Linked DNA regions of Drosophila melanogaster. The protein of the gene in region 3 interacts with the protein of the main gene of each other region in a pairwise test. Each region holds a gene or a part of one and is shown on either strand. Other genes may lie near its edges. The genes, in order: CG9133, CG12081, CG31140 and Pex14.

Region 1 (9,312 bases), on a different chromosome or scaffold from region 3:
TTGGCCACTTTTTTTGGGGGAAAGGTTGTGGGCACGTGTTCGTTTTCTTGACGCTTCTTTTCTGGCCAAAATGTCACCGAACTTTGGTCACAAATCAATATAATAATGTTTTTGCATAATAACACTATAGTGTTTGACGTCTTTTTTGATTACGTCTGTATTTTCTTCTTTTTAGCATTTTATTAAATATTCTGAGGTCGCCGGCATTCCGATTAAAAAACAAAGTCAAGCAGCGCAGCAAAAAAGTGGAGAAAAATATTATTTAAACTGGATTTCTTGTGAACATTTATGCATCTAGAAGATGGGCATTGAACGCACCTCCACAAAAACTATATATATACATATATATTTAAAATTAGTAGATAGATTAAGCCGGTGCAAAAGTTGGACTCCGGAGTGAATCTATTTGATTGGGATTCGCTGCTCAGCAGTCATATGCTTATGAATTCTAAAATATTTAAATGCCAAATGGTGCAGGGGAAACACAATTAGCATTTTAATAACAGCCAGTACGTTTTTGGCCGAAATCTGCTTTTTTTTTGTTGTACTACATATGTGAAAATCGCACGATGAGCTAGCGAATTTTAAGTATTATGCAGAAAAAGTAGCGATAAATGTGTGGAGATATTTTATGCAAATCCGATTCTCTTTCATTATGAATTCTATTATGATCTGTACTATTAATAACAAATAACTCGATTTGAAAGATTTTCAAAATAAACCTTGGCGAATGCATTTTTGCATAGAACTTCATATGTTACTTATGTTTTTAATCGCGTGATTGACGGGGCATTCCTTAAGCGCAGAACCCTTGAAATGCCCACCAACATCGACCACATTAGGAAAAGGCTCGATTCAAAGCAGTGCGGCCAAGAGCAATCGTTAGTATTTGCGAACCAATCGAGAGGGCCCCTCGAAGATGTCCATCACAGAGACCGAGAGGCTCCGACCCTGACACGGATGGCCACAATGGGGGCACTTGGAAAAGTGGCTCAAAGGGGCCAAGTACTTACCTCTCTTATCACGGCCATTTCCGCCTCCACTCCGGCTAATGTTGCTGCTGCTGCTGATGTGATTGTTTTGGCCGAGTTGGAAGCCGTGGGGCACCTGGCTGATGGGCTCGGCCACCGGGATGGTGGTCACGGGTGAGTTGTGGCCGGAATCGACACTGGCCAGTGAGATGAGCACTACGATAAGTGTGGGGCGGATCATGATCACCGATTTGCACTCTTCACGCGAATCTTAGACACCAGTAAAAGTTGCAACTGCACTTGGCGGAGACCTCTCGGATGCACGTAACCGAAAACCGGGGAAAGCCAGTCGGCTGTGGTATGCTATAACCTGCGATCTCGAGCTGGAACTGAAAGCCAACTGACCGTCGGAGGTTGGACTTTCGGGTGTCTCTAGATCGGGGGCCTATTTGGTATGCAGCTTCGCTTTCTAAATTATCAAAGTTTTGGGGAAATGTTGTGGTATCTCTCGGATTTAGTTTTTAATATTCAAATACTATGCTTTTCTCCGCCCAACTGTCAACGCTGGATGGGGCGGGTTGAGTCTCTAAACGAGGGCCATTAATTTGCGCCCTCGAATTCGGACTGGGAGCCCGGTGTTCGTCCGATGCCTGGTCGTGGAGGCGAACGCGGATTAAGTAATCGCCCAAATCTACTCCACTCAATTCACTTTCTTTCCGCTTTCGCGGCGAGAGGCAGAAATTGAATTGGATCGAGCGAACTGGAGCGGATGGTCTCTCCTCACTGGTTTTGTGGTCTGTCGTGGACCGATCTCAGAAGTTGCTCACATTCGGGGCCGATCCGCTGAATGGTTAACATCTAGGCTGGGGCACTGCTTCACGATTTCTCGACTCTTTCCTGCGTTCGCACTCGCCGTGTTAACTTACAGACTAAAGCGTTTGAACGCGACTAAAACGAGTTCCTCGCTCGACTCCTCTCCGAGCCACCGATCGGATCGGTCAGCTGGCCCGATCTGCGATCTCTGGTCTCTCGGATCTCTCCCTCTCCGTATAGTATAGTCACTGCAAAGTGACCAAACCGCTAAGCTGCCGCTGCATCCAACGGCGGCTTTTCCTCCTCCTCGATGCTCCCTCCCGCGAAGATTTCTGGCTTTTAATTACAGGTGTGCAATAGATGAAGATGGTCGGATCGGATCGGATCGGCATCAGAGTTCTGCATCGCGAATTGGTTTTGTCGGCTATTTTTAGACCCGCCTCAATTGCAGATGAAACACCTCCGCGGCCTTGACTGGGCAGTTAAGTGCCCTTAATGAAGATGGGCATATACACTTGCAAGCAGATTACTGCGGGTTAGGGTATCTACATCAGATCAATCAGTGAGGGATCAGATCAACTAATCATAAATGGGACTAGAATTATTGTTTTTTTTTTTCTTAATTTTAATTCAATCAAAAGCATACATTTACGTAACTAGTCGAAAAAGTGAGTGTTCGTGCATCTTACTGGACGGGTTAATATGAATGGGTTAGTACCAGAGCCAAATTTCAATAATTGCTGCTGTGAATTTTCAAAGAGTCGCTTCCAAAATGCCAAAGGATGTGTTCCGAAAGGGTAAGCGTCAAGTCCGGTCGATGGGAATGGGATCCGCCTACGGATCTCTTGGTCTACTTCTTCTTCTTGCCCTTGCCCTTCTTGCCCTTGCCCTTCTTGCCCTTCTTCCCCTTCTTGCCACCGGTTAGCATCTCCTCGGAAACATAGGTCTCCGTGGTCACCTTGCTGATCGGAAGGGTTACGGGCTGCTTGGGCGTCCGCAGCTCGATCTCGATGGTATTCTTCTTGTGCTGCGACTTGGCCTTACTTCCCAGTTTTACTAGGAACACGTCGCTGTCGGTCTCCTCGCAGGTCTTGTAGCAAACCTGAAAAATAAGAAAAGCGACAAATCTTTTTAGATACTATGCAACAGCTAACCAAAATAGTCTCAATGCAACGCGTTGCATCTTTCGCAGAAATTACCATAAATAAAAAAGCTGTAGCGGATTGCCACCGCAAACTGAAAAGAGTGCTCCACACTTGGAGCTGGCAGATGTTACGCAACTGCCCCACAATTGAGGCAATCGAAAGCCTTCCCGAAGTGGCAGAAGTGGCATAGTTGCACCACCTGCAACAACGTTTAGGGGGGCAAAGTCACGGACTACCAATCGATCCACATTCCGCATCCGCACACGTAACTGGCGAACTTAAAAAATGGAATGCGGAGGCGATCGGCGATTGTGGTTAATGATTTAAGATCGAACATTCTTGAAATATGGATTTCCTTAGGCCACTCAGTGCTGCGCAAATGAATATAGGATGGACTCACCTCGATACCCTTGCGCCTTGTGTCCAAATTGACACCCTTCATGGTGTCCATGATGTCCTTCCGCTCGACCTGCATGCAACATGATCGCTGGTTCTGGACGGGACAGTGCGCGGGCACGATGGGATCGGATCCGCCGCAGAGTCGCTGGCGGTAGCAGTCGACCTTGGCCTCCTGGAAGTCGCAGGCCTCCTTGATCTTCGAGAAGGGCACGTAGTAGTTGTCGGTCTCGCAGGCATCGTTCCCAGAGTACTTGATATTGGCTCGCACCTTGGGGATGTTCGGGTGGTTGATGATGCGGCCGCCGGTCCGGCGCTTGATGTGGTTGCGAGCGAAGGAGCTGCGCTGGAGCATATCGTGCAGGCAGGACTCCTTTGCGGGCTCGCAGTCATTGGGGTCATCGCGATAGCAGGGATCATCGCCTGCGCCCAGATTGGGCGCAGTCTCGCTGCCATCCATCACGCTCTCCACCTTGTGGGTGTTCTTGAGTACGCGTATGGTCAGACCGCTGCCATTGAGGCAGGCCTCGAACTCGTCGTACGCCTCCGGACCCGGATCCGGCTTGGTCGGCTGGATGAAGCAGGGAGCCAACTCCGGACTGCAGTCGCAATCGCAGGCGCACTGACAGCAGCCATCACAGTCGTCCACATCTGAGGATACCAATTGGAAGGGATGAATCATCCTTAAGCCCGAGCTTCGGTGCAGGGATCCGCGTGTACTTACTCTCGTTCATGGGCTTGAGCATCTCATTGGTGATCTTGAACTTGCAGTCGACCTTTGGCTTCTTGCCCTTCTTGCCCTTTCTTCCCCTCTTCTTGGCCATGTTGTGCGGTTGAGTGATTGAGTGTGTAAGTCAATACAATTATTCACTAGGCTCAAGCTGAAATCTCAATTCCGAAAGCCTTCAATTCTCAATTTGGATATTGTACTTCACCAGTAAGTGGCGCAATTTCCGCACAGCTCGTTTTCGCGCTGAAATGAAAATTGAATTTGGGTTAGTGGATCGCTTCGAAAATTTTTTAACTTGATAGGAAAAAAAATAGTTCGGACGTACTGATTCTCTGTTTTAATTTCCATCCAAAACTCGGGTAACAACAACGAAAGATTTTATTTTTCTGTATTTTGTGCGGCAGACAACATTTCCCGTTCGAATGTATAAAACAAATGCTAAACGAGTGATCTTCTACACCCCGACTACTAGATGTTACTAAATGTTTCGCTGGAGTTACGAGACGTTTGTGTTGTTGTTCATTTCGAAGCCTACTTGGCATTCTCGAAATCCCAGTTGAAATCGTTTTCTAAATACATACATATATGAGCTCACCTTCATCACAGGCCATTTCGTACTCCTCCTCCCGTCCGTTGCACCTGACAGTGGGCTCCTTGTACCGAATTTTCTTGGTCGCCTGGAGGACTCCTGCGCAGACAGGATCGCAGTCTTCGTAGACGGCGGACGGACTATTCTCGTCTCCTACGCGGCAAACAGCACCTCCAGCCTGACGCTTCTTCTTGCCCTTGTCGTCCTTGCCACCCTTTCCATCCTTTGCGTCCTTTCCATCCTTGCCACCCTTTTTGCCATCCTTGTCCTTCTTGGGATCCTTTTCCGGTTTGTTCAAGAGCTCGGCCTGCATCTTCTCCTGGATGAAGCGTGGGTACGGTGGAATTCCGCCGCAGGGACCGCATTTCTGCAGCTTTTGTTCGATCGGCGAGAGATTGCAACGCTTTGTGGGAACAGTGGGGCATTCTGGGAAGAAGTATATACATTACATCATTAAAAGGAAGCATTTATATATGCTGATGATAGATTATAGTCACCTCTATCGAACTCGTCCTCGCAGTAGTCACAGGGACAGAGCTTGTCCAGATTGCACGAGTAGTACCTGAGGCACTTTGCCGGAGGCTCAACTCGCTTGGCACAAGGATCCACCATTGTACAGCGACGACAAGGAGGCTGGGCACACGAGCCCTTGCAGCCCTTCTTATCCATGGGCCCGCCGGTGGCAGTTCCGCCGCCACAGCAGGGACTGCAGGGATCGCACGGATCGCAGGGGTCGCAGGGTGGAGGACATGGTGGGCCACAGCTAGGAGGCGGTGGGCACGAGCCGCAGCTGGGAGGTGGTGGGCAGGGGCCGCAGGGACCACAGGGGCCACAAGGACCGCAGCAGGGCTCCGGGCACTTGGGATTGCGGGAGCAGACCTTGCTGAAGGGGAACGTGGACACAATGGTCGGACCATTGCACACCAATCTAAGGATCAGCACTATGTTGCCAGTCTGCATCTTGCAGAGATTGAAGAGGGGCAGCAGTCGCTTGGACAACTCCGATGTGGGACACCACTGCTCGTGACGTTCGTTCAGCTTCTCGTAGCAGGCACAGTTGTCCAGGAGGCCCTTGCTGGTGGGACCCTTCATCTTGGGCAGCTGGGCGATGTGCCCCAGCATGGCGTCTTCCCAGTCAGGATTCTCGATGTCAAAGGACTCCTTCACCCTGTCGAAGATGGGCTTCACCTTTAGCTCCGACAGTCCTATCAGGAACTTGCAGCTCTCCGTGCGCTTCTTATAGACATGCACCTGCAGCACATCCTTGTCCGTAATGGGGGAGTCCAGAGTGAAGAGGGCGCACTTGCCGCACTTGGGCGAACAGGGGTTAACACACGTGCCCACCTCCCGATCGCAGAGATTCACGTAAACCGACGAGCGGAACGTGATCTCTGTGCAGGTTGGATACTCCTCCGGAGCGCAAAGATTCTGGCGTGTGATCAGCAGATCGTCCACTACGAACTCGAACATGTAGAGGAAGTTTCCTGCAATCTTGGGAGGTTTCTCTGGCTTCTCAGACTTATCGGATTTCTCAGTTTTCTCAGTTTTATCAGACTTGTCCATTTTCAAAGGAAATAATTTTGGCTAGGCTTTTGTTTTGTCGAAACTAGAAATTTATATGCCCGAACACTCGCACTTCCAAAAATTTTGTGAGTAAATTTGAATTTAGATTCTGATTTTGAATGGCCGTCCAGACGGGGAGACTGTGGTGTTCGAACTGCTAAACCGACTGGATTTGCGAGGGCTACTGGAATCGGATGAATTTTGAAAACTTGATTCCTTGATTTTCGATATTAAGATTGTCTTTTAGGCAGATGAGTCTGTCTGTATGTAGATTTTATTACGCCTAAAATGCCTAGTAAGGTCTTATTTCTAACATATATATAAATTTTAATATTAAATTATATTATAATGGACAATAGCCTCCTCAAGTCACTGAAACACCAGAATTGGTATAAAAATTATTCAAATACTTTATTTATAGTTAAGATATGCGAATGATTATCAGTTGCTAGGCGCATCCCTTGTCAAACAATAAAAATGCTTATGGCAACTAAATGAGTACGGAATATAAAGGCTCGCAGCTGCATTTCCTACTCATGTCTTCTTGGCTGGCACGGTCTTGCAAGGATCGCAGGGATCGAATGGCGACGAACAGGGAGCAGGCCAAGTGGGCGGGCAAGGACAGCAACAGTTGCAGGGATCCTTGCACACTGGTCTCTGGACGGGGAAGGAGGATACCACAGAGGGCCCATTGCACACCAGTCTCAGGATCAGCACTATATTGCCCGTCTGCATTTTGCAGAGGTTGAAGAGCGGCAGCATCCGCTTGGTCAGCTCTGAGGTGGGACACCACTGTTCGCGCCGCTCCCTATTCCTCTCGTAGCACACACAGTCATTGGCCTTCTTGCAGGGGCCCCTCAGCTTGGGCATTCGCGACAAATGGGACTCGACGTTACTCTCCCAGTTTATGTTCTGTGAATAGAACTCCTTCTTCACCCTATCGAAGATCGGCTTCATCGGCAGCTCGGTCAGCCCGAGCAGGAACTTGCAGCTCTCCGTGCGCTTCTTGTAAACGTGAATGTGCATCACGTCCTCGTCCGTGATCGGCGATTCCAGCGTGAAGAGGGTGCACTTGCCGCACTTGGGCGAACAGGGGTTGACACAGCTTCCGTTCTCCCGATCGCGGATGTTCAGGAAAACCGAACGGAACGTGATCTCCGTGCAAGTGGGATACTCCTCCGGAGCGCAGAGGTTGGGACGAGTGATCAGCAGATCGTCCACCATGAACTCCAACATATACAGGAAGTTATCAGCAAGATTAGAGCGTTTCTCCGACTTGTCCATTCTCATATAAAAGCTTAAAAACTAGAAATTTGACAAAATTACTATACCAAAGAATTTGTTATGTGTTGAAAACGTTTTTAGAAATTTTCAGTCACTGAAACCTAATTTTGACGAAAAATAAATATGTTGAATTTTGAATTCAGATTTTGACGACGTGCCGAAAAGGAAAGACTGATTTTCGAAATGGATCTATGCGACTGAATGTAAAAGGCCTGCCTACGATTCAAAATATATAAATAAAAAGCTAAGAGCTCTGCATTCCTACTAAAATATCAACAATGACATTCTTTATATGATTAACACCCTCTGGGTAACCTGTACTCTTAACCTTTACTGGCCATCTTTTATGGTTGTCATAAACGCCATATACCCATATCATTAATTACATTTCACCTCCACAAGTAGATAGAAAGACGCCGGTCTGAGGTTTTCTAGCAATGCGTAAAATACTTTATTTAATGTCATTAAATGGTTCTACAAAAGTGATTGATCTACATTGCAGTTAATCGCAGTTAATAAGCGGCGCCTTCACAACTCCACTTCTTCCCGATCGAAACCCCAATCATTCCCCTTTTCCAGCCGCCTGAAGCTCGCCTAAGTGTAAGTGATCTGTGTATATAATGACTAACAAGTTGCAGAAGGGAATGGACTGGGGGGGGCTTTAAGACTAAACAAAAACAGAATAAAACAAAACAGAAATTGAGAGGAAGTCGAATCGATTACAGAATTGGTTTACAATTGTTCTTTCTCGGAGCAATGGGACAGTTTAGCTGCAGAGGTAGTTCCCAGTGACTCTGCTAGACGACACTAACGTCATGGGTCTCGAAAGGAGATGGGCGGAAAAAGCCGCGGCCACTGCACGAACTCGACGCCGTAGTGCAGGATGCCCGTGGCACTGACAGCGATCATTGCGCCCCAGAAGAGCATGAACAGCAGGTTCTCCGTGTTAAACTCGGCCGGATAGGTCATCGTGATCATGAACATGGCCACAGCCACAAGCAGCACCGAGGGGAAGGTGAAGAACCGCCAGCCATGCTTCGACTCCAGCGGCGATGGCACGGCACCGCCCTCGTTGTCGTTGACCAGATACTTTCCAAGGAAAAGATCGATGCTGTCTTGCCGCTGGCCATCGGCGAAGTTGTTCAGATAGTAGCGCATCAGCGAGTTCTTGCCGTCCTGCATGGCACCAGACTTGGTCCTCTTGCCCGTCCTGGTGAAGTCGGTCTTGAGCGCACACGTTCCGGAATATTGTAGCGACACCAGATCCGCGTTGTCCGCCCACACGCCCTTGAAAATGCTCTCGAAAATGTCGGAGGCATGTTCCACTTTCTGGCCCACATGAAGCACTCCCAGCTTCTGGAGCACCGCAGTGAGGGACCTGCGGGCCAGCATGCTCTGCACGACGTTCGTCCTATCGAGACAGTCGATACAATTCGTTCGGAAGACACCAGTCTGCGTGGACACCAATTTGCCGTCGTCGAAGACATGATAGACACCGAACTGATCCTGCTCATGGGCGAGGCGATCGATGAGTATGTTCAGCCGGTCCCAGCGCATCTTACGGCACTCGCTGTGGAAGTCGAAAGACTCGTATCGCACTTGTGGATTTCCCATTTCTCGAACCAGGCGGGCATAGGTCGCCTCGAGCTCGCCTTCGGCACCTTTGTGATCCACTAGATTCACAGCCACATTGTTGCCATACAGCCGGATCTGTTCCTTAAAGTGGAGCCCGCAGGCGGCCAAATGATCCTTGCCCGGCACCAGAACGGGTCGTGGCTTATAGCGCAAATTGGGCAGCTGGTGCCAGTGGAAGGGCATGCT
Region 2 (7,307 bases), on a different chromosome or scaffold from region 3:
CCAAGTACTCGCTGTGTTCCGCACCTGGAGGCCTTGCGTTGCAACTACCACTCATAATAGGCAATTAGAGCGCTGCTGACCTTACTCTTACTGGCATTGCGTGCGAGGCTGTTGCTTTCAAGTGATTCGATGACTGTTTCCTGCCTGGAACACCGCGTTCAAGGGGAGTTACATCCACAATTACCATATATATATATATATGCATACACTGCCTAAAAGGAGATGATCTCTGTAAATTAGTTATAGAGATTTGTCACTAGTTTGACCGCAAAAATAGATTAGGTAATTCCAAGGTGAGATGAATACCTTGGCGGTTTGAAAGTGTCTAAATTAACGAAACGGCTGCCACATAGATCCTAATGCGAAAAGCAAATATTTAAACAGCCGACTCGTGCAAGTTTGGAGTTCGCAATGAACGGCCCACAGATTAATATAGTGTTAAGTTAACCAGCTATACAAAATTCAGCAAGAAGGCAAAGTAAACAAAACTGAATAATATGATTAATGAGTTTAAGATATTATATTCATTTTCTTATCGGGCATTTTGGCGAAAGGACGATTTATAAATGTTTCATCAACTATATTCTATACTCGCATAGTCATTATTATTGTGTATTATTTGAGGACGATTTATAAATGTTTCATGAACTATATTCTACATTCGCATGGTCATAATTATTGTGTATTATTTAGCAGCTATCAGAAGTACCAAAAGCAAGTTTCTAAAACTTTTGTAATTACTGGGGCTTCTCCCTCGTTCGCTCAGGTCCTCCATTCGTCATCTCTCCCGAAAGTGTTATTCGAGCTCCAATACAAAGAACCGGACTAGTGGCTCCGTGATTCAACACCATTTTTCCACCTCATTCCATTTTGTGGCAGTCGACTCCGGCTTATTCCTTACGGCTTTGGACGCTAGCCAGCTTGGTTGATGGGCCGGCTAATACTGTTCGGCTGTGTCAGCATCTGCAGGTCCGAGCGGAAGCTCCTTGGCAGCCCCGAGATGTCCAGCTGGTGCTTGAGCACCACCATGGTGGCCAGGGTTTTTAGAGTGGGCTCAAAGTCGAGCACATGCAGATCGCTGTAGTCGATAAGCGCCACACCGGGCGGAACAACTCCGCCAGCCGCTGCGGCTCCGCCCGTCTCTTGAGTGGGTGAAACAGCTGCCGGCGAGCTGGAGGAGCCGCTCCTTGGACTGGTGCCGCCAAACAGGAACATCCTAGTGCCCATCACAATGGCGCACTGTCTCCGACGCGCCGTCGGTGCCTTGCCGTTGGCCCGTATCAGGTTCCACAGCTTGGTGCGCGGATCGAAGGTGTACAGATCGTTGAAATGCTGATCCAACAGGCCATTATAGCCACCGAAGACATATATCAGCTTGTTGTAAACGAACATGCTGTGGCTGCGTCGACCAACGGGCACCTTACCGGCCGTGAACGGTCGATGCCACACCTTGGTCTTCATGTCCAGGTAGACGATCTCGTGACAGTAGGTCTCCTCCTGGCTGTGGTACGGACTGTGCTTATCGCCCCGCCCGCCGAAGATGTACATTCGCTCCTGTTCGTAGGCCACCGACGCATGAAAATCTCTGTAGCTGGGCGGCACGCCAAATGTCTGAACATAGCGCCACTCCATGGTGTCCAGATTAAGGGAATGCACATCGCTGCTGAACTCGTTGATCTCATCGACGAATCCACCGAAGATGTACATACTATTGCCAATGACACAGGCCGAGTGACCATCCCGCGCTCCGGGTAGACAGCCAGTGACCTGGGGCCTCGACCACTGCGCTGTCTTGGGATCGAAGCAGTAGAGGGTATTGCAGAGATTCTCGTCGTTGCGACCGCCCCAAATGTAGATGCGATCCTTGTAGGCCACCACCGTGTGTCCGTAGCGCTGGAAGGGCACCAGCGGATACTTGAGTGGCACACCCGCGTCGTCCAGCTGCTGGGGCACCAGAGTCCAGCGCATTGTGTGTGCATTCAGGGCGTGCACATCGATGGGCTCATTGTAGCGATAATCGTATCCGGTGCAGTAGCCACCAAAGCTGTAGATGAAGTCGCCCACGCCCACCGCTGCGTGATTGACCCGCTGTGGCCCACCGTCCAGATGCACCGTCCACAGCATGTCTTGGCCAACTGGATAAGCTGTGCGCTGTGGGCTGCGAGCCGTGTAGCACCAGTGTGCTGTGCGAGGAGACGGAGATCTTTGCTTTGGGCCCAAGCTGCCCGAGCAGCCCAAGCAGCCAAAACACACAAAGGAAAGCAAGTGCGCCGCAGTTGTCGCTCCTTTTGGGAGCGGGGGCAGGGTGGTGCGGGCGCAGGTGCGAGCAATTGAAGGCCACACAGGTATAAACACTGATACCAAGCGCTAGCTGCGCTCCGCTCTGCCAGTTTTGCCAGATGTTGAAACGAAACGAAACGGATCGAATTTTTGAACAACACAAGCACACAGAGTTGCGTGCGTGAGCGGACGCACGAAATAGCAGGGCTCCACTGGGTCGTGCTGTTATCGATATCGATAGTATAGATTTCTGATTGACAATTGCATTTAAAAAATGACAAATTCGAAAATCCAATGTATTTGCATTAAATATTTAGCTATTTTAGCGAAACAGTTGCAATGGCAATGTGCATTTACACTAGATTGATTTTTAAGATGAAGCTCCAAACAATGAATTAGAATATTCTAATGTCTTTGGTCAATTTACCTGAACTTTTTTTCACTCAATCACAAATTCTCATTGAATATTCTTAGTTTTTGCAAGCTTAGTTGCGATATTTATTTACTGTTGTATATATGTGTTTTTATATACGTCAAGTGTTTGTGTGTAAATTAGATTGATTGTAGTACAAAAGTTATAACAAAATAAATAACAAGAAATCATTTAATACAATATTACGCGAACATACATTATATATGATGCAATCTATGCACATTTTGGTTTACGAATAGTGGTCCCCATGTGTCTGGCCACAAAAAAATAAAGGGACGCCGCAGCGGGATTGGTACGAAAATTGGAGGCAAATCAAATGCTACGATTGCAGGGAAGGGGTGGGCGGGGGGGTTGGGGTGTAATGGAGGAAATGGGGTATTCGAAGCCCCGCCTCCTATACATTCGTGGGCGCGTCCATGCCGCAGATAACCGACTTAACCACCGACGCCGCCGAAATGGCAGCGAAGTTTTGCCACTTCCTGGTGGACGTGCCGTCCTTGTAGTCAGCGATGCCCTTCACCAGTATAAAGCTCTCTCTGCAATTGCCAATGATGCTGTCCAGCACGCTGCTCATCTCCACATCGGTGGCCAGTAGGCCGTACTTCCTGGCGAACTGGGTGCGCAGCTCGTCGCTCCTCACCAGATCCCTTCCGGATCCAATGGGACCCAGATGGAGTCGCAACCGATTGACACCGTCCACCTCGTCGGCGGCAATGGGATGGGCCACCTCGATCACCTCGTTATTTCCAATGTTCATAAACAGTTTGTCCGTCCGCGCGTCCGGCCGGTTGAAGTCGGCATCCGTCTTCTGGGCCAACGCCTGTTGGGCCTGGTTCAGGTAGTCCTCCCACGGCCGCTTCACCTGCATGTTGGCCTGCAGGCTCTCGGCGATCTGCTGCAGCGAATCGTTCACCGGGAAGTAGGTCTTCACGTCCTCGCCGCTCTTGTACAAGTACACGTACGGTTTCTCCTTGCTGTGAAGAGCCATACATGAATGCGATTGATAGATTGAAGATTTTATATTCGTGTAACTTACCTATTGCTGATCAGTGCCCGCTGTTTGTCCACATACGAGATGACCACATCGCCCAGTCGCACGTGCTTCTTATAGTCCGTGTAGTGGGGAACGCCACCGGCTACGCCCACGATGAAAACATAGTCGACCTTTTGGAATGTGCCCAACAGACGGGTTGTGGTATTGCCCGTCGCCGTCATCGCCTCCCGATTGCTGCCCACCGACGGGAGCTTGGTGCTCACGATCCTGTGCGCCCCGATATTGCCCAGAGTATACACATTCGATTCGCCTGTGGAGTAGAGAGAAAGTTTGGATCAATTGATTGGCTTACAGAAAGCGGTTTACGTTCAGGACATTGATAGATACATATATACCAAATTATACAAAGAGGAATGAAAAGAACATGAAATAAGGAACAAATCATATTTAAAAAAAGAAAAAGAAACACCAATTATAATTTTCCATACATCCCATATTCTTTTGCGATCAAAATACAAAACATAAACCAATTAATGAACCGAGTGTGTGACGGATCTAATCAATCCGTCTAATGACGTAGTTACATGTGTATATGTACAATATAAGGTCATGTATCCTGGGGCAATCCTTTACCATAACAACAAAACAAATGAAACAAAACAAAGCACCGACGACGATACAGCACAGACACACAAAGGACACGAAAGTTACAACAAATCGAATTATTCTAGGCCAAGTTCATAACTTTCTATCCAAGTTTATGGCAACTCATTCGCGTACAGTGCGCACTCGATACATGCGAACGCTCCATGTTCAATCGATTGCATTACTATTGTTATTTTTGATTCAAAGATGATTCTTTAGAGTATTAATGATCTAAAAAAAACTCATGAACTTGACCTTGGATATACATATGGGTGCTTCTGAGTTAAGGAGTGGATTCTGGACATTTAGCTTACCGAATCTTCGTTTCTTTTTGGACTTTCTGAGTGAGTTCGTTAGATTGGGATCGGAATCTGTTACATGGTTTGGTATTTTTCGATTCGGGGGAAAGGTGAAAGGTTTGTATTTAATTAATATCATTGCAGGCAAGTAAACATCAGCAAATTTGTATGCAAATTCATTCGTTTATGGCGAAATTTTCGTGGTGATGAGGATATATATATATTTTTTTTTTGTTTCCACAAAAGTCGAGGTATTTGGGATACAGAAGTGGAAAGAGAGAAACAGAGAAAAGACGGTTAGACGAGAGTTTGATTAGTAAGAGTTGAGGGAAATTCGATTCGCTATCGAACTGAACTGAACTGAACTGAACCACCTACCGACTGTGGTGTATCGGACGAATGTCTCCTTGTTCTCGAGCATTGCGTCCACGGCGAGCTTCTCGCAATATTGCGCCGTGATGATGGCAATGGTGGGCTGCTTGTTGGAGGCGATCGTGGGCATCTGCTTGACCACCTTAATCTCCTTGTCCTCGTGATGGATGCGAGTGTACGCATTGTACTCCATCGACTTGATCAGACCGCGCTCCTGCAGTGACTTGATCACCAGCAGCACATCCTGCTCGCTCCAGCCGTAATCCCTGCATTAAACAAAATGAATTAATTACATCTCAGGTCTAGACTTCAAACGGATCTTGATGTACTCACTTGGCCAGATCCTCGGGGGACACGGGATTGGGATATGCCTGCTCGATGAGCTCCAGCACCTTCTCCTGAGTCAACGGCGGTGATTCGAACTGCGATTCCTCGAGCGAAACTACGGGGATGAGAGCAAAGGAAACAACAAACACGATTAAAGCACAATGTCTGGGCAATTCCCGCTACCAATGGTTATACATTTAGCAAGGACTCTTCTGTTAGCGGGCAATGACATCTACTCTGAGCGGTGGGCGTGGCTGGTTAGGCGGTGTCTGTTAGTAAAGGAAACGCACAGGCACACGAGCACACACACACACAGTCAGACGGCTGGCAGGGCGGTCAATTAAGTGCTCAAGCAGCGCATTTTAATTGCAGACAGCAGACAAATTGGACACTCGAGATGTCAACTGCATTTTGAGGATAACTAAAGGGGTAGGGAATGCTTTCGGGAGTTTCAAACCAGCACAGGATGCGGAAGACAACAGCACAAGTAGAAAGACCAAAATTGCAGGGTATTATTTTTTCCGACAGATTTCCAAGTGTAGATTCACCACCTAGCTGAATTAGCAATGGAAACTCATGTGGCATCCTTGTGGATTTGGAGCAGTAACTGCAGAGCATTTGACACTAGCAATTTTATTTTATTTTATTTCGCTTTTTTACATATCCGTTCTTTGTTTTTCAATACTCTGAAGTGCACAACACTTTTTGTGTACATATTTAATGCGTTCTGTTTTTTTTTTTAGTGAGTTTTTAGTGCGTGCATTAGTACGAAAAGGAGAAACGAAATAAAAAAACGAACGAACAACAGGAAAGGCGGCGAGGAAATGTGCAACGAAGCGGATACAAAACGAAGTTCGTTGAGCGGATTGGATTAGATGATGATTAGTTGTGGGGAGCACTGGAGCAGTGGGCCATTGGAATCGGGATTCATTTCCGCCGGGCGCTCAGCTGCTCGGTGTACATGTCCAGCCAAATGGCCTTCATCAGATTGTCGCCGTCACCTGTCTTTCGCTGCGCCATCAGCGCCTCCTCGAACTTTCGGTTGCAGTCGCCGTAGCAGTAGATGATGTACCCATCCCGGGCTGATATCCAAACAAATAGAAATAACCACCCGCACAGCCCAGAGGATAGATGGAGCCATGTAGTTCAGATGAAAAGTCAATTTCGCATACTACAATCGACTCGGAAAGTTAAGTAAGACATGGAATTTGATATTCACCGAGCAAAAATGCATAAAAATAGGCTACTCACAATATGCAGTGGCATAAATTTGATTCAAATGGTACAATAACTCGAATATCAAGTTCCCTCTTATTACATCCGCATAGAAAGGAATAGGGTATACTCACGTGGTCGCGAGGGTGGTGCGGATGTCTCCTCCAGGATGCGCAGCTCAATCTCGATCGACTGGATCTCCGAGTATCCGTGCTGCAGGAGCTTCATTATCTTCTTGATGAAGCCCACGTAGTCTGTAAAGAGAAATAAAAAGCAAATCAAGCAAACCTAAAACTTCTCATAACCGCCTTCTTTACTTTGATAAGAAGTTCTGGATTTTCTTATCATATTTAATACAAGTAAACCATAAACCATATGTATACATTTAATAGAGGCTTGAAACCATTGGTTCTACTATCAAACCACAACTGCTTTCAAATCAATTCAGACCCACCTCTGGGAAAGTCCTGCGGACTGACCAGCTCCTTGAAGAAGTCCTGGGCTATGTGCGCCTGCTTCTCCTCGTTGGTCAGCCAGTCGCGGAACCAGAAGCGCAGGGTGCGCGACTCCTGCGAATGCTTGCCCGTATTGGCGCTGACCAGAAAGACGCGGAATTCCAGCGATAGCGCTGCCGCCTTGCTGGCGCTCTTCTGTCCGGCGACCGTGTCCTTGTTAATGATGATGCCCGTATGATCACCGCCGGCGACATGAACGCGATCATTGATCTCATCGACCAGTTTGC
Region 3 (7,680 bases):
AATAGACAGAAAATCTGCGAAGTGGAAAAACTATAAACACTGAGGCCGCATAAAATGGCAAGCGTTAATCGCGATAATTATAATAATAGCAACAACCAGAGCCACAAATCCCGAGAACAAAATTACACAAATAAATACAGAGGAAAAGCGAAGAATATTCATCATGATGCCAGGCGCCTAACACACTTCCCATTGGGAGAGTCTGTTGCCTCAGTTCGGTGGATTCCGTATCCGATTTGGTGCTCCTGCCGCGATTCATTTCGGTCCGAATCGTACCGTGCTCTGTTTCATAGATTTCCATGGCAATGGCACATAGTACATACATATAGACGAGCCCATACATATCTACACAGCGAATCGGAGCCGTCTATGACGTCGTTGGCGCTCCGCTCACGTCACGGCGGACACGGCCAACAGCCGCACAATTTGGAAAAGTTCAAACGCGCACACTTATCGGCCGCAAATAGCACGATGATGCCGCCCCTATGCCAATGCTACTACACACCAGATCTAGATGCTGCCACTGTCGGAGCACATCGACAATCTATACAATCTATACGATCTACACGATCCGTACAATCTACACAAATCGTAGATGACCCATTGGTCATGTGGCGATGACGTCGGGTCTGCCGATCACTCTGCACGAGGAGAACTTGTTTAGTTTCACAGGGAAAACGCAATTGTCGGACGAGGCACAGACCAATTGCTTTATTTTCGGTTCGGATAATCTACATTACTTTATTATTTTATCAATAGCAAACCTTTTCTGATAAATGTCAAGATATACATTCACCCAATTAAGTTATTAAATCTTTTTACTGATGCTTTGAACACTTCACATATACTATCCAAAATAATAGTAATCATTTCATGATAAGATTCCTATATTTCGCTATTCTGTGCATGTTTATGCCACCCACTACTGCCTCATCCTCATCGACATCATCAGCGGCCGCATTTTCATTCCAAGTTTATGGCAATTTAAAAAGTATTTTCAAAACTAGACGAAATGTATTTTTACATCTGCCGCTGGCGTTGAAGATGTTCGATGATTTGCGTGCTGCGTTTTCTCGGTTCTGTTTAGTGCTCATTAATTACAACTTATTTCTATTGCGGCCGTTGAGACTGAATTGAGAACTGATGGACGAAAGATGTAGTTTCATATAGAAAATTCAGTTTTAACGATTATCTTGAAGGAGATAATCCAATGTAAGATATGCCTTTCTGATCAAATTGCTTACGCAATAAATATGAATAAAAAAATGTGGGATATCCTGTGATCTCATTGAAAATATTTAAAGTACTTGTACTAGCTCGGTGCTTACCTTCGCAGATATATCCCTGCTGGATGAGGCCCCAGAGCAGATCCGAGCAGTGGTGACAGTATGTTGGCTTATGAAATGTCTTCTTCACGAATGAATGCCCACCATCCGCCATTTTGTTTGCCTGTGTCCGCAGCCCGCCCCACTTCCTGTCCTTCTGCTTCCGGTCTATCCTCCTGCGCCTCCTTGTGCCTCCTTATGCCCCGTTGCCTTATGCGTAGTGGGTTTTTTGTGCGTTGTCCTGCTGGAGGATGCTGTTGCAGCTGCAGTTGCTGTTGCGCTTGCAGCGGCAAAGGTCTCTCGATGTTGCAGTTATATGAGCAGTATTCGCGGCTGCTGCGAGTGCAGTATGTGTTGCAGTTGCAATATCGCCTGCTGCTGTGTATATGGGCTATTTCGAAGTGGGATTCTTGCGGTTGGGCAATTTAGGCCGCTGCTGCCGGTGCGGGCGTCGACGCCAGCTGAGCCAGCGCTGCCGTACCGACCGAGGGCGTTCGATTGGCGTGGGCGTGGCAGGACTGCTCCTTCTGATCCTGCTGCTCCTTCTGCTGCTGTTGCTGCTCCTGGTGCTGCTGGTACTGCTGGTGCTTTTCCGACTTTTCCTGTTGCTGCTGACAAAAGCGATGCGATAGTGACGACGGCGAAAGTGACGGCGACGACGGCTGCATTTTCATCCATTGGTCAGGTAGCGGCTCCCTTATCCGGACATTTGCTTGTCGGGATCGGTGTTTTTCCTCGCTTTGAACTTTATTTATCCTTACTAGTTTCTATATACATATTGGCTATGTATCATATTTGCTTTGATTCATATTCATGCATCTTTGGTTTGGTTAAGCGTTTTCGTTTATAACTTTCTTTTGGTGGTGAGTTTTTAACTGTTAATTATTTACAATTTCTGGCGCTGCACTAAACAAAATAAATTTGATAATTGCTTGTTAGAATTTATGTGTGCCATTTGAAATAAATAAATTCCAATTGAATTTTGTATATAGCACTGCACACACAGTCGCGGACACACACGTAGGCACACTTCACTCGGCGGGCGGTCTTCACTTTACTACTACCGAAAACGAACAGTCGCAGCAGCAGCAGCAGCTCGGAAAATGTTTTTCTTCGACTTCGCTCGTTCCTTTGCTTTTCCACTTTCCGCTTTTCTGCGCTGATACGTGGGCGCCGCACACCCCAAAAGAAAAAAACAGCAGAGCCAAAAAATGAAAGGAAAACGTTTCCCGATAATAAAATCCACAAGAGCGGGAGTTTCCACAGGGAAATGCGAGAGAGAGAGAGAGAAAGCTAGAAAGAGAGCGAGAAATGGGGCTGCGCGAGAGAGAAGGCACGCGTCATGCGTGGTGAGTTGGGTAAAAAAGTTCCCAGTATTCTTGGAGCATCATAAAAAAGTAGTAGACATCAATATAATAATAGAAGTGGCAAAAATATGATATCAACAGCGTGTACCGCAGGGAAAAGGAGAAAGGGAACCATAGGGAAAAGGAGAAAGAGAGAGTGGCACAGAAAGCGAGAGAGGGAGCTAGAGCAAACTGCATTGCTTCAATTTCTCCCACCCAAAGCGATTCTATCAATTTCCATAGCTGCGGCGCCCTCAAGTATGCAACATGTTCTGCGACGAACCAATTACCACCGCCACCCACTTTCCCAGCACCACCCCCTCCCAGCCAAAGGCCGCCCACCGCCAGCGGGTATGGCCAAGGACAATCCAGTCAAATATTATATCATACAGGTCCTAATAATAGACGGAAACAAAGGTAACGACACTTGAAGTTTTCAACTTGATGACAATAAACGATAGCTAACGGAAGGCGCACAAATCCGCATTGTGTGTATACGCAAAGTTAAGGTCGGCATAATGGCCCTCAAGCACAAGGATCTTGGTCCTTATTTAGTGTATATGACATGTTTTTAGCATTGATTTTACATCGAATTATGTCCTAAGCTCATAATTCTATAACTATCTATTGTGACAACAAGATATGAGTTTCCTATTGTTTAAAACCCTCAAATTTTAGTTCGATATTCGATCCTATCGAATATTGATATTAACGCATCGTTTGTGTGCGCAGAAAAGCACCTACACGAAATTATAGTAGTTATGATGACTTAAAGCAGATTATAGATGGAATCAAGGAATATCTATAAAACTGGAATCCACATACGCAGTTACTTTCTATAAAAAAAAGTTGTTAACCCTTGAAGTAGAAGTACTGCGAACTTGAGAAATGAGTTGTGAACTTGGACTTGACGGTACTATTATTTGCACCGCAACTGTGAGTTTGGAGCCAGCCTGACGACGTGGAATGTCCAGGACCCGTTTCCCGTGTCCATATATCCTGGCCACCAGGCGATGTCCTGGCGACATGCGCACTCCGGAACCCACCACACTCGCTCGCGCGAACTCAACTCCACCACGACGGAGCGTTTCAAAGAAAGTGGCCAAGTTTAAGGATAAATCACAACGAGCAATATTTTTGCAACAAATGCGTTGAACGGGCGGCAATTTGGGGGTTGGGTGATGAAAACTTTGCGGCTTTGCTTTTCTTAGGGAAATTATTGTTTTGTTTTGGGCTGGGAGAGGCGCAGAAGCAGAAAAAACGGAAAATTATGGATGCTAATGGGGGGCCCAAAAAAGCGAGATATATAGATTTCAGAGGCTGTGTATACACACACACTCTACAACTGTAGACAAAGCAGCCGTACTTCGTACCCGTAGTGGCGCCCACCCAGCCCACTGACGCCCCCACCCCTTTCCCCCTCTGGACTTGCCACCCACTTTTCCCACCCAATGCTGCGCGCTTCGCTCTTTTCGGGCCGCATGAGCAAATCGCAATAGATAGAGAATTTTTTTCTTTCTTTCTTTTGCTGGCGCGGCTTGATTCCTTGCCACCACATCTATATGTATGTATATATATATATGTCTGATTGGTATATATATGCGAATATATATGTATCTGGACGGAGTGCGTGTGGCCTTGTCTTTTTCCATTTTCATTGCTAATCACACGAAGGAGTTAATTTGTTAAAACTTTGGCTTCGGATGGGAAAGTGGGGCCTGGAAAACTCTTGGTACTTGGCACATATGACAACGTAATTTTCACGCGCACACACACACTCGCGATTTTGGAGAGAGAAATTTTATGTACCATACATTTTTGAAGCTGCAAAATTTTGCACATTCGATTTTCACACTGCCACTAATGCTGCCTGCTACTGCTGCTGCTGGCGCTGCTGCTTTTTCCTTCGTTTTTCTTTTCTAGCCGCACTTTCGAATTTTTTTTCCTTCACCGGATGGAAAATTTTCACACGCACAGCAATCGAGTTAAAGCGAGTTTTTCGCAAGTTTTCATCGCGATTTCCCCCGAGTTTTCCACGCGTTTTATGCACTTTTTCGCTGCGAGTGTGTGAGAATTTTCCTGTGTGCTGGCTGTGTGAAAATGGAAATCCAGTGAAAATCCGCAACCGTTACGTACGGAAGAGCACACCTAGCTGCTGTGTGTGCTCCGCTGAAGACGATGGTGCGCTCTGCGGACGGGTCTGCAACTTTCTCGCGGCGCAGCGCCTTTATCGCTGCCTTCGCCGCTGCTCCGCCTGGCGCTCTCGCTGCGTCCCGCTCGCACACGCCGTGGGGCCAATCGCGCCCTCTCGCTCGACGCTGAGTGTGTTGAGTTCGCCGAATTCCTGTGTGCGTGCGTGCCCAACAACAAACAGGGGGAAATGTTGGGGAGCTCCCGTTAGGGAGAGAGCCAGGTCGCTCTCTATCTCTCTCGTTCGCAGTCAGGATGCTCTCTGGCGACCCCCCCTCCCCAAATAAAAATGAAATCAACAATTTGTTGGTCGGCGAGCTGCCAACTTGGCCCCAAAATAAATGTGGCCAAGCTAAGAGAGGAAATTGGCCCAAAGAACGACCATTATTTTAAATTAAGGCTTAATTGAAGGTTAGAAATGTAGGTTTTTTGAAAAAAATGAGTTTTACATTCAATATTAAAATCAGTAAGAAAATGCATTTTCTTATATTTTATAATTTAAGTTAGTAAAATCTCATAAAAACGAACTTTTCAAAAACCATTGCCTACTTTCTTGTGCTTATTCCGCGTCATAACCATGACGTACTATTGTCCCAACAGAAAAGAGTAGTACTGAAATATAAAAACTCTCACGCTCGATACCATCTTTATTTGCAGCAAAGAATGCATAAAGTAAACAGAGTTTTGATTGGTTACTTTGGATACAGCAATTTTTATATATTTATAGGGCTTTTAACTTACAACTATAGAGTTGAGCACACCGTCGATTAATCGCATCGCTTTACTTTGCTTATCATTAAGTTAATCTTTACAAATATGAACGTGTGTGAGCAACCGATATTGATGCTTTTTTGTGAAATTAAATGTATTGCAAATTGCATTTGCCAAGCGAAATTAGGAATAGGTTTAACAGCACTTCTATACACAATGTTTTTTATGCTGACACAGGGTGGTTAAATTACAATAGAACCGGTATACTTTTGGGTTACGTTAAATACACATACAATTAAGGCGACTTTAAATGGGTTCAATATAGATAATGCCTTTCTGGCGTTACTTTTGCATAGAGCCAACTTAGCCCAGGCCGTGATCGTCGAAGAAACTCTGCGGGGTCTCATCCTGGAAAGGGAGAATGCTTAGCTTCAGTTACATGTTACTATACTTTACAGCGCTTGGGGTAAAAGGAAACCAAATAAAAGTATCGATACTGGGGGCTAACTATGAAAAAGACTATGAAAAAGGGTGGTATATAGTAGCAACTAAAAACGAAAGGACACCAAACGGGTGCGCTAAGCCAGACATATAGGTAGATAGACAGTTTAGAGGGAGTGGAGCTCAGAGATCAGATCAGTGGAGGTGGAACAATGTGGGCGTCAAGAGTTTAGAGCAGTCAAATTGGTCAGTCACAACAACAGCAAAGACAACAATCAAAACTAAACGTTTAACAAAGACACTAAAAAGAAAACTGAGGTTCACCAGGTCTTACCATTTTCATATAGCATACGAGTACAATTAGGATTTTTTTTTCAAAAATACTTGGTTTTTATTTTAACTTGTTTTTCTCAGTTACAAAACACAGAAAATTTGGCTAAAACGTACAACACACATACATAAACATATATATATATATATATACTTGTAGATATAGATAAACTAGATTTTTTTATTCGGTTATTATTACAATTTTCAATTATATATCGTTCTCATTTAATCAACATTAAAGCTTACATGTTTCTATTGTAAGAATAGTATTGCATATATTTCCCCACTAAATTAGTTATTGCCCATTTGGTGATTGATTGGAATGATCTTTCGATTATAAAATGTAGATAGGAAGAGGAATATTAATTCAGTTCAGGAACCCCAGGTGGAACTACGTGAGGTTGGCTTGTTTTGCATGAACTTTTCTGAATCTATTGTGTCTGTGCGTGAAATTTACGAGATAGAGTGTATGAAAAACCGCATACCAGATGCTCTGATGTTACTATATAGTATTATTGCTTTTTGGAGCCTCACGCTGCTTGGCGTCTTCTTGCTTATAATTTTTTTTTCAGCGCTTCAGTGCTGTACAACAGCCAAATCACACACTAGTGTTGAGGAGTGGATGGAGCAGTGCTGTAAAGTGCCAAGTGCAGCACACGTTATCGCTGGGGTGTAACTGTGTGTGTTATTGTGTCGGGGTGTGCGTGTAATATCAACTACATAATTTCTAGGGTGTTCTAGTTCTTTAGAGGAGTCCAATGTCTCTTAAAGTGCCCTCAACGGCTTCGTCCTGGAGTACAGAGAATAAGAACAATAAGAACGAGAAGAGTAGAAGGAAAGAGAGTAGTAGTGGTAGTAAGAGTAGTAGGTGTATGTGTAAGTAGAATGTGTCCAAAAAAGAAACCAATTTCGATCTTGTTTTGCTTTTCTTTCATGTACGGCACAACTTGGAAACACGAAATGCATATTATATGGATGAACATCACAGCGCAGCGCGGGGAAGGCAGGGAAATAGAAGCTGGGCAATATACACATATATATACAGCTGGACGAAGGATTGACTGATCTGACCTATCGACTCTCCACTAACTCTTTGCAGATCGGGAATATAACTTTATGTTCTTTACACTGTTTCTTTGGGATGGGTTTTCTTTTCTTCTTGGTATTTATTTATTGTTTTCATTGATTAGTTGAGATACTCATTGAAGTCCTGTGGTGGTTGTTCGTGGTGGTAGTAGTTGTGTTAACATCGATATATGCAGTGGCGGGTAGGGTAAGCGTTAATAATAACAAGAGAGAGGGTACATGGGTTACACATTTATATATGGCTTATGGTA
Region 4 (6,949 bases), on a different chromosome or scaffold from region 3:
TTTGGTGTAAGCTTCGAGTGCTTCGCCTCGCCATTCAATTCCTATTTCCGACAGTACTGCTCTGCGTTTGCCGACACGGATGCCTACTTCGGTTCCAGGGGGTATGTAGCCAAATAGTGAATTTTAATAAGCTGAATCTAAGTGAAATGTGTGACCTTTACAGGCCCTTCCTCGACTTCAAGCCCGTTTCCGGTTCCTTCCAAGTAAACCCTCCTCATTGCGAGGAGCTGATTGAGGCTTCTTTGCTGCACATCGACAAACTGCTCACGGACACCATGGAGCCTCTGAGGTGAGATTAAACATCGGTTTGATGTTGCTTATGAGTATAATACAATTTGTTCTTGTTTTACTCAGCTTTATTGTGTTTCTGCCGGAGTGGAAGAGCATATCCAAGCTGGACGACAGCATGTACAAGCGCCGTTCAATGGTGGTATTGGGCATGGCCCACGAGTACAGACACGGCTATCAGCACATGTTGCAAAAGTAAGTTAGTTAAACTTATGCTTTTCCCATTCATACTTATTTAACTCCGTTAATTTCCAGGTCTGATGTGCTGATCAAGTGCATGCAGGGCACACAGGTGGTGTGGTTGCAAAATAGCGCCGGATACGCGCGATGGGGACCCAATGAAATTCGCGTGGAGGCACTGCGTGAGGCCTTCAGGCCACAACGAGATCGGGAGCGTGAGCGGGCTGCAGCTGCGGCGGCAGCAGCTGGGGTAACCTCCAGCCAGCAATCGCCATCGACGCCCCCATCCGCCGCATCCACGGCTCCAACAACCAACTCCTGTACGATCAGTGGAGTCAATAGCAACAGCTCATCCACAGCCACTACAACGAGCACAAGCAGCAGCCCGTCGCTGACCACAACATCGTCCTCAATGTCGCCACTGTCCCCGCACACGCCCACCGGGAATCCGCCGCCACAGTTTCCGATGACCATCAGCAACACCAGCAGTAGCAGCAATTTGGTGGCCGCCTCGCCCACAATGAGTGTGCAAAGCGATTGCTCTTCGCCCTCCTCGTCGACGATGTCTCTTTCACCGGCTCCTGCTTCGGGCGGCTATCCGGATGGAGTGACATCTGCCACAGCGGCAGCGGTGAGCATTACGGCAACGACTACCACATCGGCTGCTGGAGCGGGATCTGCATTTGGCCAGGCCAATAGCATCAGTAGTTCCGCATCCACGCAAGCGGTCATCAACTCAGCCGTCTAGATTTGATTCTTTTTGGGATCTTGCTATCCACACATGGTTCTATTTTGTCCATACTATCTGTGCACTTTCTGTTAGCATAAATTAGGGTTACATTTGAGGAAGAAAAAACCAATTGGGCCTGAAGCCACACTAGCGGCCATGCTCCCAGTTCTGAGGTTTAGTTTTGTGTAATCGGATGATAATCGCTTTAATTTAAACAAACGCGGAAGCCAAAGGGATGGCAACTTCTGTTTTTCCGAAAAAGTACAACTATCCAATTCCGTTTTCAAAATGTATCGTTGGAACCAGGAAAACGCATATACATATTACGCAATATTTTGTAATTTCTTATTTTAAAAACTTAATTTGTAACGTTACACATCGCTCGGTGTTAATCAAATGATGCCTGTCCGAATGGTAAATTACGTTTGGGTCAAACAACAGGCTTTAAAACACTAAATATTTTGTTACACATTTTTGTACTTCTTGTCAAAGCTTTAATTTTCAAACGTACACATTTTTGTACTTCTTGTCAAAGCTTTAATTTTCAAACGTACACAGTGCTCGGCCTTTGGCAGCTGGTATTGCCCCCATCGCAAGGTATAATTAATTGTAAATATGTTATATTTAATTTGAAATAGCTGATAAAAATGCCGGCCTGGCCGCTGTTTATCTTATACGATTGTACCCAACAAACAAGGGCCAAGCTACCCAACAAAAGACTCTAATAATGCATACATAGTATGGGTAGGGGTACTGTTCTCTATCCTTGTTTCAGGGTATTTCGCAATGGTTTGTCCATTCACAAAACGAAGTGAGAAATAAAGAACACATTCATGTGAACTGTGAAGCCCTTAACAATCGTTTGTGAGAATATTAACTTACTAGAATACATTAACTTTTACGAAAATGGCAAACAATTATTTGAATACTAAATTATCGTATGTACAAATCGATAACTAACGTAAGTAGTGAAGGAAATTTAATGAAGGGAATGCGCAGAGAACCAAATTTGTAATTGAAACAAAACCATAACTAGGCACCGCACAATAAATAAATAATTTAAATCCGTTAAGGATCTGGGTGGAGTCTTCAAGGAGCTTGTAGGCAAAACCTCGAGGTGCTCCGCCCGGCATAATCTTAAATCAAACCTAAGGGAATTTAGCCAATTTATAGAAAGTAGCACTCGGCAAAATTTTTAGAATCCAATTATCGTCTAAGTCGAAATTTATTGTCTAAACCGATATGCTATCCCCACCCCGTATGTACCGATAAACAAAAAACTACACAAAGCATTTTTGCGCTTAATTAAACAGTTTCTTTCAATTCAAACCTGTTATTATGTAAACTTTTTATTATTACATTGTATAGACATCGTATCGCATAAGTGTGTATATGTGAGTGTGTGTATGTACTTTTGGATATGGATTAGCTGTTGACTATAAAGAAACCTTAAATGCTATAAACGCAAAGAAAAAAAACCAAAAGTCTTGAAGGCATTTAACGGGGAAACTCAATTTACAGCGTAACTATATACTACGTCTATATAGCCAGCCTCGTATTCTGATTGCATTACATGATCTCCAAGCTGGAGTCACTATTCTTGGTGACCACCTCTGTCTCCGACGAGCCAGACCCGGATCCAGCATCATCGCCCTTCTCGTTGTCGTCCGACCCGCTGTGCCGGTGATGGTGATGCGGTGAGCCGGCCAATTGCCAGGCGGGAATGGATGGCACTGCGATCGGAGCCACAGGGCCGGCGAACTGTTTTCGGTTCAAAAGCAGGCCCTTAATGGCATCCAGATCGCTACGGAAGTTACTAAATTCGCGGTTCAGCTGCTGGGCGTGTTCCCTTTGCTGTGTGGTGATCAGATCCCTGACCGCCAAAATCTCCTTGTTGAGGTCGTTGGTGCGGGTCTCTACCTTCTTGTCTATGTCGTCCAGGACTTCATCGACCGCCTTCTTCTTGGACTTGCCGAACAGGTAGGGCGCAATGTATTGCTGAAATTATACGGGTTTTAGAAGTTATTAGCAATCATGGACTTTGGACTGGTGGACCACTTAAAACTTATTTATGCGTCCTAACACTTTTACAAAATGTGTTAAATACTAAGTAAATTCAACGTCGTCTGGTAAAAGTGTCATCAAATATATGTGTAATGTATCTAAGCCTTAGACAAGATGGCGATCTTTAAATTCGCACTCGAGTTGGTGGAGTAAATATAATAAATCTTTTTAAAAGACCCCGAAATAGAGATCCCACTGCATCTCACCTTCCAGAAGATGTAGACTGCGTAGACGACTCCGCTGAACAGGGCTGCCGAATGGATGATTTCCCTGATCCGGCCCAAGACAGTCGGCTGCGGCTGCAGCGCGTGCAATTGGGATCCAATGCTAATGACGGTGTTCGGATTCGGATTGGGCTTGTTGGGGTCTTGGGTGAAAACGCCGGCCCGTTCACAGGCCAGCTGAATTTCGTGAGCGGTGAGACCTTTGGACCGTAGGAACTGCTGCTTCTGGATAAGTGTCGTGTGGCGCACCTTGGTGTTTTGTAGAAAACTGACTGCAGTGGTTATCTGCGGCGAATAGTCGGATTATAGATTAGGCAAACTTGAAGGGGTTGAACAAATATTACCAGCGATTCTCGAGGCAATTGCTCATCTACGCCGGCCTCGACATCGTTCTGCACCGAGGTAGCCGTCGCCATGACGGTGGTGTCCCCAGTGTCCGTGTTGTTGCTGGACATCTGTATATCGACTCTTAATTCAATCTTGCCTAGCTAATACACACGAAAACGGAGTGAATCCGAATTCACGAGCAATTCGATTACAAAGTGCACAAAAACAAAAGTGTGACCAAAGACTTTGCTGCTCTCGAAATTACTAATGCATTAGCGTTTCTAGGGTTATTATGTATAACGTTAAGGTAATTTGTAACGTAATAAAGATTTGAACTTGGAAAAATGTTTTTACCGAAAAATTTGGTAAGAAATGTTTCTATTATAAAGAACATAGTACCTGGGCTAAAATTTTAAATGCATAATATACCCAATAAAAATATACTGCAGTATAAAGAATCAGGAAACTTGAATTAAGATGCCGAGACTAAACAAGCAAATCTTTACATTGAAGAACATTAAAAGGGGCTATGAAAGGTTGGTGGCAGATATGCCAAATGTGGTTCTTACAAATTGTGGGTCCTTAATTATTAGTTTCTTTTTCTATGACGTGTAAGCACCAATGTGGTAAAATTTGAAAGTGTAATGGCGATAAGCTCGTGACACTGGTATTTGGTATTTATTTTTGTACCAATTTTATTAATCCAAAGCGTTTAATCAACGCTCTCCGTGCTTGCATTCATATATGTATTCATTTTGCGTCACCTTCTATTTTGTGTTGCATGAAAGCACTAACGCCTTGTTCAAAACGCCAGAACACCACAACTGCACCGATTTGATTACCTGTAGACCGAAACACCTCATTATTTTTATTATTTGGAGGAACAGACAATATTTTCCGGATATAATGGACACTCTGAAGGGCATGCTGAAGGCGTACGAGGCGTGGGTGGGCAAAAACCCCGACGTGGTGGGGGATTTTGAGACCACAGCCAAGTGGGTATCCTACTTTATAGCAGGTAAAGTGAACTCCTTGCTTACATAGAGCCTACAGACTCATCTCATTGGCCGGCTTCCAGGTCGCATTTCCTCATCAAATGTGGTCAGTGAGCTGGTATATACACTGTCAAACATGCTGGTGTTCTACAACGACCGGATCATCGAAAAGGCACGCAATTCCGAGGAGAATTCGGTGATCCACCTGCAATCGAAACTTTGCTACCGTCTAAAGGTCACGTTGACGACGCTCGAATATAGCGAGGTTTTCATCGAGATATCAGCCCGTCGGCTTTTCGGTCAATCCGGCAAGTGGCTGGTGATAGCGCTAATACAGGCCTTCAAGGCAGCGGGCCGTTTCTTTATCTTGAAACACTCAACCTCGGATATAATCACCTCACCGCCCATCGCCGCACTGAATCGAAGGGCCAAACAGAGGAAGAATTCGGGGGATGGTGTGGCCTCCTCCACGAACGATTTATTGCAGTCCCAGCACTCCATTACCTTCCAATTGAAGCGATCTGGCCGTGTGATTCGTAAAGTGGAGGGTGCTCCTCCCCTGCAATACCGCGACTTCAAGCTTCATATAGACAACAATGAAGCGGCGAAGACGCAAATTCCGAGGAAACTCCTGCAAGCAGAATACCTGTATATATCGAAGCCACTAATCCACCTGGTCGCCATGGGGCTGTTCGGCCGGAGAAGTTGGAAGCAATATATGGTAGCATTATCCATTGATTTGTATAGCATTCACCTCTACCGCCAGCATCGCGACCTAATGTCCAAGCAACAAAAACTGGAGCTGAGCAGGCGATGCATAAACATCATGTACTTCCTGGTCCGATCGCCGTTCTATGACAGCTTCACCAAATCCAGACTGGAGCGGATCCTCGACTTTGTGGCCACAAGTGTGCCCATTGCTAAGGTGGTTGCCAAACCCCTTAAAGATTACATTCCCACGTGGCAAAGCACTTACTTCTATCTGTGGTCCACTTAGGCATTTCAGGTAGAGCGTTAGTATTCCCCTAGGCTAAGTTTTAAAGTTACAGGTGTGGACGCATTCGGAGTGTTGAGGGTGGGTTGAGTTTTGGTCCTTGAAAAGTTGTTTGCACAATAAAACGATGGAGTAATTTTCGATATGTTTATAGCCAACTTTCATATTCCTTGAATTGACCCACCCACATGGCATTGCCGCTCTTGAGGTGAAAAATGATTATACATCCCAATTGCTTTGTATGGCTTTTTAAATTATATATGGAACAATATTTATACACATACAATTAAACGAAATTTTCCACTTACATCGCTAACTATACATAACAATTAATCGTAATCGTAATGGGCTAAAACACACAGAATCAGAACTTCAGACTGAATCCCGGTCCCATGGCCAACTGGCGCTGCGTTATTCCAGCGTTCAGGACAAATCCCGTGCTAGCCGACGATCCACCAGCTCCGTGGCTCTTCTTGTTGCCAGTGATAATCCCAGATGAGAGCTTGTTTCCCGGTCCCACGATGATGGGCTCGTCGCGGCCTAGTTGCTTGAACTGCGAGCCACCGGATGGCGGTTTGGGGGAAGAGGCTTGCGCCTTGCGGGCTCCCAACTCGCTCTTGGCCGGCCAGGTGGGAAACATGGATGGATCGATGGGCAATGGCAGCTCCTTGAAGAAGCCGTGCTTTAGTGCCGCGTCGGCGCTCAGTCTTTGTTTCGGATCGTACGTCAGCAGACCCTGCAGCAGCGACAAGCCCATTTCAGAGGTCTTCTCCTGGAAGTGCTTGCGCAGTTGCGAGACGGGATACTCGGTAAACTGAGAGTTCTGCGACAACATGTTCTTCACGGCTGGGAGCTCGGTGTATCCTGGCCAGATCTTCTCGTTCGGAGTTCCCAATTCCTAGAACAATAAATCAAAAGTCAATAAGCATTCTCGGCAAATGAATTTCAAAGTTAATACTAACAATTGTTCAACAAGCTTATTTTAATAACTAAACTTTAATGCTCAACCACAGCTTACCTTAAAGATCCTGTTAAGCTCATCGATTTCAGATTTTCCCGGAAAGAGCGGCAGCATCTGCAAGAATTCGGCGAAAATGCAGCCTACCGACCAGACGTCTATGGGCGTGGAGTAAACCGGCGAGCAGAG

Evidence for each region.
Region 1: the proteins of CG31140 (region 3) and CG9133 interact in a two-hybrid assay, tested with the Drosophila melanogaster proteins (one large-scale study listed by BioGRID).
Region 2: the proteins of CG31140 (region 3) and CG12081 interact in a two-hybrid assay, tested with the Drosophila melanogaster proteins (one large-scale study listed by BioGRID).
Region 4: the proteins of CG31140 (region 3) and Pex14 interact in a two-hybrid assay, tested with the Drosophila melanogaster proteins (one large-scale study listed by BioGRID).

Annotation. Positions count from the first base shown.
Region 1 is NT_037436.4:1,249,062-1,258,373, reverse strand, and holds CG9133 (uncharacterized protein), read right to left. Parts: upstream 6,363-9,312; 5' UTR 6,208-6,362; coding exon of another isoform or gene 5,142-6,207; intron 5,071-5,141; coding exon of another isoform or gene 4,651-5,070; intron 4,522-4,650; exon of another isoform or gene 4,381-4,521; intron 4,299-4,380; coding exon of another isoform or gene 4,231-4,298; 5' UTR 4,150-4,230; coding exon 4,050-4,149; exon of another isoform or gene 4,008-4,049; coding exon of another isoform or gene 3,977-4,007; coding exon 3,330-3,976; intron 2,887-3,329; coding exon 2,635-2,886; 3' UTR 2,388-2,634; downstream 1-2,387. Other genes in the region: tfc (triforce), read right to left, coding at 1,014-1,212; CG9130 (uncharacterized protein), read right to left, coding at 4,231-4,298, 4,651-5,070, 5,142-6,207; Bfc (booster for Crq), read right to left, coding at 6,742-7,497; Sac1 phosphatase, read right to left, coding at 8,305-9,312.
Region 2 is NC_004354.4:8,583,968-8,591,274, reverse strand, and holds CG12081 (uncharacterized protein), read right to left. Parts: upstream 2,465-7,307; 5' UTR 2,125-2,464; coding exon 913-2,124; 3' UTR 501-912; downstream 1-500. Other genes in the region: CG12065 (uncharacterized protein), read right to left, coding at 3,108-3,687, 3,750-4,017, 4,667-4,723, 5,030-5,289, 5,357-5,465, 6,295-6,432, 6,700-6,819, 7,020-7,307.
Region 3 is NT_033777.3:23,960,351-23,968,030, reverse strand, and holds the start of CG31140 (uncharacterized protein), read right to left. Parts: upstream 4,852-7,680; 5' UTR 4,808-4,851; exon of another isoform or gene 4,798-4,807; intron 2,232-4,797; exon of another isoform or gene 2,227-2,231; 5' UTR 1,441-2,226; coding exon 1,329-1,440; intron 1-1,328. Other genes in the region: AP-1sigma (adaptor protein complex 1, sigma subunit), read right to left, coding at 7,089-7,133.
Region 4 is NT_037436.4:20,775,925-20,782,873, reverse strand, and holds Pex14 (peroxin 14), read right to left. Parts: upstream 4,076-6,949; 5' UTR 3,942-4,075; coding exon 3,831-3,941; intron 3,772-3,830; coding exon 3,469-3,771; intron 3,197-3,468; coding exon 2,768-3,196; 3' UTR 2,496-2,767; downstream 1-2,495. Other genes in the region: Pcif1 (phosphorylated CTD-interacting factor 1), read left to right, coding at 1-101, 164-289, 355-483, 544-1,216; Pex16 (peroxin 16), read left to right, coding at 4,720-4,831, 4,892-5,805; pitslre, read right to left, coding at 6,167-6,700, 6,821-6,949.